Saccharomyces cerevisiae S288C: one gene and its partner. Changing the gene in region 1 together with any one later gene gives a genetic interaction. Each region holds a gene or a part of one and is shown on either strand. Other genes may lie near its edges. The genes, in order: HEL2 and ENO2.

Evidence for each region.
Region 2: mutations in HEL2 (region 1) and ENO2 together harm fitness more than expected from each alone (negative genetic interaction), as found in Saccharomyces cerevisiae (2 studies listed by BioGRID).

What each region holds. Positions count from the first base shown.
Region 1 is NC_001136.10:999,349-1,003,986, forward strand, and holds HEL2 (E3 ubiquitin-protein ligase HEL2), read right to left. Parts: upstream 2,676-4,638; coding exon 756-2,675; downstream 1-755. Other genes in the region: PEX10 (ubiquitin-protein ligase peroxin 10), read left to right, coding at 1-529; iron-sulfur cluster assembly protein CIA1, read right to left, coding at 3,162-4,154. UniProt on the Saccharomyces cerevisiae protein: E3 ubiquitin-protein ligase that plays a key role in the ribosome quality control (RQC), a pathway that takes place when a ribosome has stalled during translation, leading to degradation of nascent peptide chains.
Region 2 is NC_001140.6:449,497-453,465, reverse strand, and holds ENO2 (phosphopyruvate hydratase ENO2), read right to left. Parts: upstream 2,140-3,969; coding exon 826-2,139; downstream 1-825. Other genes in the region: CTR2 (low-affinity Cu transporter), read right to left, coding at 25-594; YHR173C (uncharacterized protein), read left to right, coding at 2,313-2,651; gamma-tubulin-complex subunit SPC97, read right to left, coding at 2,660-3,969.

The DNA of each region.
Region 1 (4,638 bases):
CCTCTTTTATTTCAAAGGAGCTTTTTACAGTATTTCCAAAAGGATTTTTGGTATGAGATATGTTTTTAAACATATATTGTCAAAAAATGAGGCCAATTTTAGAGAAGAGGGCTCACAAAAGTACAAAGTATTAGGTTATATCCTATTAGCTCAAAATGTTATGAAATGGTACCCTGTCCTAACCTCTACGCTCGGGTCCTGGATTTATGGGAGAAAAAGGACCAATGATTCAATTACTAGGTCGTCTGTTGGTCTACAGGAGCGTTCAGAACATGAATCTATAGAAGGCATACCGAAGGAATCGCAGCTGACTCATATAAATTTGTCAGATAAAAACCAATTGCCATTTATTCCAGAAGCCTCGAGAAAATGCATCCTATGTCTCATGAACATGAGTGATCCTAGCTGCGCGCCATGTGGACATCTATTTTGTTGGAGTTGTCTTATGAGCTGGTGTAAAGAGAGGCCAGAATGCCCCTTGTGCAGACAACACTGTCAACCACAGGAAATTCTGGTCCTGCGGCAATAGAGGAACTAATCAATAATTTGACTACTCTTTTAGCATTGTCCACAGGCCTTTTTCAGAAATAACGCAGACGTCTGAGCAGGAGAAGTAAAACGCGAAGGGGAAATAATGCTTTTTAGTCTTGTAATTATATTAATTAATTAAATAAGTTTTTCTTTATCGGAATTTTATTTAAGACTTTCATTTCTCTAATGCTATTGTCAGTTACAGGTTAGAAATATATTTCCAACTATACACCAATGTGGAATAACAGCTGCTTTTGTTTGCCTTTCTTTTTATTTCCTCCACTAGTTGTGTTCAATTCCCTCAAATTATCGTGCACGTTAGTATCTTGTGTGCTTGACTTTTTACCCCACTGCTTAGGATCAGCAATTTGGGGTCTGTTCAGACCTGGAATTTGCACCTTTGGCTTTGGTGGAGGTAGTTGAGGTAGGTTGAGACTTTTCAATTTATCTTTGCTATTATTTAGAGAAGTAGAAGAGGAACCCTTTTTACTTTCCAAATAGGTTGGAGAGAAGGCGACTGTATTAGTGGAAGTTCGATAACTAACTGATTGAGGTGTAGTTCTTTTAATGTTTTGCACGGGTCTCAGAGTGTTTTTTTTTACGGTGGTTGCAAAGGGATCATACGACGCTGAAGGACTTTTCAGGGTTGGAAGATTTTTGATATTCCTAACGCCTAATGCTGCACCAGCGCTGCCCCCATCGTTTGTTCCACCCCAATGGCCCCTGCCTATTGACATTGAAAGGGAAGAATCACTAGATAAAGAAGGTAGTGAAGTTTGTCGTGCAAGGGTTTGCTCTCTTTGTTCATATATGGCGTTCAGATTATTGTATTTGGAGGAGTTTTTGGGAAAGGTTTCAGCTAAGTTATGAATCAATAAATATACATCCGCATTTGGTTTTGTGAATAACAATTTATATGATTCCAATAATTTTTCAGCACTTAAGCGACCTTTAGAATAATCTTCGTTATAAGAAGAAAACTTATTGAAGTCTTCTTTGGAATTTTCCAGATAGTATTTTGCTCTTTCTGCCAATCTTAGTCTACTTTCCTCGGGAGAACTAGCAGATCTCACATCAGTTCTAGAGCCGGATGATGAACCCGGTAGGGAAGATATAGATGGAAGGTCGTAATCATCTCTTTCCCTGATCACTCTAGATGGAGCCGAGATAAAAGTAGAAAGTTCTGACTGGAAAAACTTTGGCTTTCCCTTCAGGATATTACCATGCTCCTGCAAAATGTGGGCTTGTAACTCCAACTCGTCTTTAAATACGACAAACTTGTTATCTAAGCAAGTTTGGACGGTGCAAACGTAATGCGAATGTTTAAAGTGGTCAAAAAGCTGATTATAATCCTTAAAGTATTGAGGAGAAGCGGGGTTCATCTTATCACAAATATGGCACTTTTCATGCTGATTTCTCATGTGAATGTACAATTCGTCGTCTGAATAAAATCGTTTTCCGGAACAGAAGGCACACATAGGGTGGCCTTTGAATCCTTCTGAATTACCCTTAGTTTGATGGTTGCGTAATTGATTTTGGGTGAATATTTCAAGCTCACAAGGGAATGCATGCTTATGGGTTGCACATATTAAACAGATCATTCTGTTATGTTCAGATTTCAAGTGTTCATTATATTTCTTGAAACTACCAAAGTCACAAACTTGTTCATCCTTCGATAGGGGACAAAAAAATTTTAAAAGATTTAGTGTTTCGGTAGCAACCTCTTCGCTAGTGAAATTTATTCCATATTTTTCATTTTTTTCGCAAAAGTTATATTTATCTGAAATATCACCATCTATGCGATCGGTAAACATGACTTCTTCATTCTCCGTTCTGCAAATCAAACAGCTTTTCTTGTTGTACAAAGCTCGTTGTCTGAAACCACAGATATGGCATGTCTTATGATGGCATGGTGTTAGAGATACGTATGTTAACTTGCGCGCACAAATTACACATAATTCATTTTCTTCATCAGTATCATCTGCGCTTGAAGTGGTGAGGTTGGGTTCAGCAGAAAGGTTATTTTTCTTTTGCTTTCTTCTGAAATTCTTCCTGTCGTTGTGAGGTTTTGTATTATTTTGGGGCCCTTGAGTACGACGGAAGTTACGTGTCGGAGTAACGTTTTCTTTCACTGATTCGCTCATCCTAATTCTTGAAAAGAAGTATAGCCACTATTTTTTCGACGAAAGAGACTGTATCAAAATGCACTTTATGGATCTTTTTCAGCTAGGTATGCGCTCGACGATTTGTTGAATATGGCTGAGTGGGCAGTCGTTCAGATGCCCTTTTCAAAATCTTAAGAGAAAATCAGAAAATATAGCTATTATTAAGAGTGACCGCGAGTATGAAACTTTCAGTGTAACCTTTCTTTATTCGAGATAATGCTTAATTACAAGTCTTCCGAATATCTAATTTTTTTTTTTTTCATTTTTAAATTTCAGTTTTTACCGCATGCTTTTAATGCAGGGATATGTATAACGAGGTCACTCCGTCACACATGACAGAATTGCGTTATAGTGATACAAAGGTTTATGTAACTAGGTAGAAAAATCGTCATTAAGTTTATTTTTAGAATTCAGATCGATCACTGTGTTAATATGAGTTCCTGAATTGTACTCTTGCTTCTACATCTACGCTGCTTTTTCTAGAGACCAGAAATTTACGATCCCGTCGTCACCGCCTGTTGCAAGTATAGTTTTACCATTTAACTCCAACCACTTCACAACGTTGATTTCATAAACTCCATGACATAATGCACGTTTAGCAAAAACTTTCCATTCTCCGTCTACTTCTTCATAGACCGCTAGTACTCCATCCGCTCCTACACTAGCAATGAGGCCATTAAAGCCCCATGCAACATTGTATACCTGTCTTTTGTGTACATCCGGGAGAATAGCTTCACAAACCCATTCTTGTTGATCATCCTCGTCGTCACCCATGTATTTCCATACCCGTACAGTGGAATCGTCGCTTCCACTGCACAGTCTAAACACGCCCTCAGTCTTGTCAAAATCAGAAGACCAAACAGTTCCTTCATGGCCATTTAAGACAGCAACACATTCCCAGTCATCGTCATAGTCTTTCCATATCCTGACGGTGTCATCATAAGAACTTGAAGCCAGTAATGCTTCAGATGGATGCCATATAACATGTTTAACGTCTTGTGAATGTTCTTGCAAAACACTAATACACTCATATTCCTCGCCACTTTCATCTGTTTCCCATATCCACACGCTTTTATCTCTGGAACAGGTTGCTAGGTAATATCCATCATTCGACCACGCTACACCTTTTACTTCATTTTCGTGACCTTCGATAATAGCTAGCAGGTCCATCTCGAAAGTTCTGTCAGCAGATTCTTCCTTAGCCCAGATAGATACAGTGGAATCAAAAGAGCCAGCCGCTAACAGCGAAGTGTGAGGTCTCCACGCCACAGATCGAATCGCCTTTTTATGAGCAGTCTCATCTAGCACATCAATTAACGTAAAATCGTCATATTTCACGCTAACTAGCTTAATTTTTCGATCAGTTGAACCTGTTGCTAATATACCTTGAGAAAAGTCAAAAGACCATATCTTTTCCTTGTAAAGTTTCAAAGACTTAATCAGATTGATAGACGCCATTACCAAATAAGTAAACCAATTGAACTATTAAAATGTCGTGGTATAGCCCGATTTTGATTTGTGATATCTACAAATCTAGTATTTATTCGCAATTAATGAGGCAAAGACGATACAATATTCGATGTGAGATTTTTCAAAACACGGCCCGCTGAGAGCAGAAAGTTTTAGATGACCTATTTGAAGGCAATCACGATGGTATTTTTCAAGAAAATAAATAGTAGTAACACTGCTATGCACATCAGAGTCAGATTCCTTAAATTCAAACGTTTCTACAATTAGTATGACCTTTTCTTGAAGATCTTTTTCTCCTTATAAAGGCAACACAAAACAAGATAGAAGTGCAAAGGTATTTTTTGTTTTTCACGTGATAAAATCGGCTTCGAGAAAGTAGAAAAGGGTATTATGATTTATTACAGGCTACCTGCACCATCTCAAAGGTTTTACGTTACTAAGGAGTGAATCAGGTTTTGATAAATATTTACAC
Region 2 (3,969 bases), on another chromosome or scaffold:
AAATTTGTAATATTTGTCACCATCTTAATGGCAGGCGAGGGAGCTGTCATCTATCTCAGGACTATACGAAGTACACCAGCTGTAATTACCCCATATTGCCCCACACACGACAGCTAACATTAACCAACCATTATAAGTCATGAATACAAGCATGAGCATGAATGAGAATCCCACTTGCAAACCATATAGAATACTATTGGACACTTTGTCGGCTTGGTTGATCTTGGTCAGAGATCTATTTGGTAACAATACTCTCTGGGATAATTGTCTCTTATGGACACAGTACTTTAAGTACTCATAGAGGTAGGCTAGACCAAAAATTGCTAAACAACTTAAAATCAGTCCAGGCAGGGTCTTGATATGCCACCATTCAAAGACGACACACGTATTCTTGTATGACCACGAAAATAGCATATTCATCGAACAGGTATCATCTCCATCTCCCATATGCATATCACTGTGGTCGTGGCCCGCATTTCCTTCCATCTTGTGATTCATGCTATCCATCTTTTTTGAGTATCCAATTAACGAAGACGTTACCAGCTGATTGAAGGTTCTCAAAGTGACTGTACTCCATGTTTTCTTATCATCCATGTAGTTATTTTTCAAACTGCAAATTCAAGAAAAAGCCACGCGTGTGCACCTTTTTTTTCCCCTTCCAGTGCATTATGCAATAGACAGCACGAGTCTTTGAAAAAGTAACTTATAAAACTGTATCAATTTTTAAACCTAAATAGATTCATAAACTATTCGTTAATATAAAGTGTTCTAAACTATGATGAAAAAATAAGCAGAAAAGACTAATAATTCTTAGTTAAAAGCACTTTACAACTTGTCACCGTGGTGGAAGTTTTCACCGGCGTAGACAGCCTTGTCACCCAATTCTTCTTCGATTCTCAACAATTGGTTCAACTTAGCCAATCTTTCGGATCTAGCTGGAGCACCAGTCTTGATTTGACCAGTTCTCAAACCGACAACCAAGTCAGCAATGAAAGTGTCTTCAGTTTCACCAGATCTGTGGGAAACCATAACACCCCAGTTGGCAGCGAAAGAGTCTTGAGCAGCCTTGATGGATTCAGACAAGGTACCGATTTGGTTAACCTTCAACAACAAAGCGTCAGCAGCCTTCTTTTCGATGGCGGTAGCAATTCTAGCTGGGTTGGTGACAGTCAAGTCATCAGCAACAATTTGGATACCAGCGGTCTTGAAGAAGTGAGACCAAGCTTCCCAGTCATCTTCAGCAAATGGATCTTCGATGGAGACAATTGGGTATCTCTTCATCAAGGAGTGGTACATGTCAGCTAATTCGACACCAGTCAACCACTTGGATTTGTCAGATTCTGGGTTCTTGAAGTCCAAGTCGTACTTACCGTCCTTGAAGAATTCAGAGGAAGCACAGTCCAAACCGATCTTGACCTTACCGTCGTGACCAGCAGCCTTGATAGCGTCAACAATCAAGTCCAAAGCTTCTTCAGCGGTTTGAATGTTTGGAGCAACACCACCTTCGTCACCGACGTTACCGGCAGAAGCACCGTATCTCTTCTTGGTCAAAGACTTCAAGTTGTGGTAAACTTCGGAACCAATTCTCATGGCTTCAGCGAAGGTCTTAGCACCAGTTGGAGCAATCATGAATTCTTGCAAAGCCAAAGCACCACCAGCGTGGGAACCACCGTTCAAAACGTTCAAGAATGGAACTGGCAAAACGTATGGAGAGGTCTTGGACTTAGACAAGTCAGCCAAATGTTGGTACAATGGGACGTTCTTTTCAGCAGCAGCGGCTCTAGCAGCGGCCATGGAGACACCCAAGATAGCGTTAGCACCCAACTTGGACTTGTTGGCGGTACCATCCAAAGACAACAAGAAGTCATCGACGGCCTTTTGGTCCTTAACATCTAGGTTGGCCTTGACGAAAGCAGCAGCAATGACGTTGTTGACGTTGTTGACAGCGTTCATAACACCCTTACCCATCCACTTGGATTTGTCTTCATCTCTCATTTCCAAAGCTTCGTGGACACCGGTGGAGGCACCAGATGGAACAATGGATCTGAAAACACCCTTTTCGGTGGTTAATTCGACTTCGACGGTTGGGTTACCACGGGAGTCGTAGACGGATCTAGCGTAAACTTTAGAGACAGCCATTATTATTGTATGTTATAGTATTAGTTGCTTGGTGTTATGAAAGAAACTAAGAAAAGAAAAATAAAATAAAAATAAAAGATTGAGACAAGGGAAGAAAAGATACAAAATAAGAATTAATTACAATTGCGTTTGCTATAAATACGTTTTTAACAATCAACTCTGGTAGGAAGATAATGCTTTTTTTTTTTATATATGCTTGGTGCCACTTGTCACATACAATTCTACAACCTTCGACAAAAATCCAAATGATAGTAAGATCAAAGCCAGAAAGCAATGGAGAAAAAAAATTAATGAACCACGATGAACCAAATGATCAATACAACCAAAGAAACTACCCTAGTGAGGTGTATGCTGACTTGGTATCACACTTCATGAATTTTGCATATGGCAAAGTCCACGAAAGTGGGCTTCAGAAAAAAGGCGTGCGGTGTGTAGATGTATCAATTAGTGGATGCCAGTTTTGGAACGGGATTCCACTTTCCGCAAGTTGGTGCACGTCGTTAGTGACATAACGCCGCGTTCATCTTTGGGAAGAAGCAGATGCTGAGCGAGGAGGTACTATAGAGTAAAGAACCCTTTCTATACCCGCAGCGTCGACACTTGAACTATCATAAAAGTCGAATTTTTCAGTACTTAACTCTTGAGTAAAGTTTATGAGACACTTCCGAAAAATGCTGGACGCGTTGCTAATGTATTCAATCAGCTTCTGAATTAATTCCAGGGCGGCATCTTCTTGGTAACCAACATCTTCCTGACCGCCATTGTTTGTACGATAGCCTTCGTTTAGTGTTTTCATCATCCCGCTTTTGTGTTTCTCATATAGTACGGGGTCCAGTTGACATAATTTTGCTCTCATAGATTTGATGAACTTGCAAAACTTATATACAATGTCAAATATTTGTAACTGTAGTGGAATCAAGTCAGACAAGCAACGATTTGTCATTATATTTGTTAATCCACCTTCTAGCTCATTTTGGATGGCAACGGCAAGAGTAGGATTTCTGTAGCACTTTTCTAATGAGTATACCTCTTTATCAATTACGTTTTGGTTGAAATATTCCATGATGGTTTTAATGAAGTGGTTCATCTTAGCATGCAGCACTCTCGTTGCCCTTACTATCCTCCTCTTCACAGTGTGCGAATAGCCTCTGTATTTCCAGCTGGGTGTTTTGTTTAAGTCCATCCAAGTCTCATCCAAAAGCCTTGAGTGGTATTGTAAAACTAGTTGGTAGCGCAGGATTATTTGGTATTTTATCATGCATGTCCTACTAATAATAATATTCAATGGATAAGGTATGTTGATGTCAAATTTTAAATGATAAATTGCGCTTTTTGGAGTATATAGTTCTAGATTGGATCCATGGTAGGCTCCCGTTCGTTCTTTGCTTAATTCATCAAAAAGAATGGCATTCATATTCTTGAAATTATTCGCGTGCATCAATGGGTCGCTGTCGTCATTTGCTGAGTTATTCTCAGGTACTTCTGGATAAATTTGGAGGTAGTGCGATAAGACTTGTGGAAGTGTTTCTGTATCGAACTGTATCATCAGGAGTTGCCTCATCAGGTTGTTTGGATTTTCGGATTGTCTCTCTAACTCAAAATTTTGTAGCAGCTTGTCATAGTTTGCATTATTATCATTCCTGTAGTGTTTGGTCAACTCACCCATATTTTTTGTTAGAAACTTTAAAACATTATGACCAGATTGATACCCAAGAAAAATTTGTTGCAAATGTTTTAATACATTGATCAAATCGTAACCTTGAAAAAATAGCTTTAAAAATATTTCATTGGCTCTGCTGTAACATTTATCCACGTAAAGTTCAAGATTAG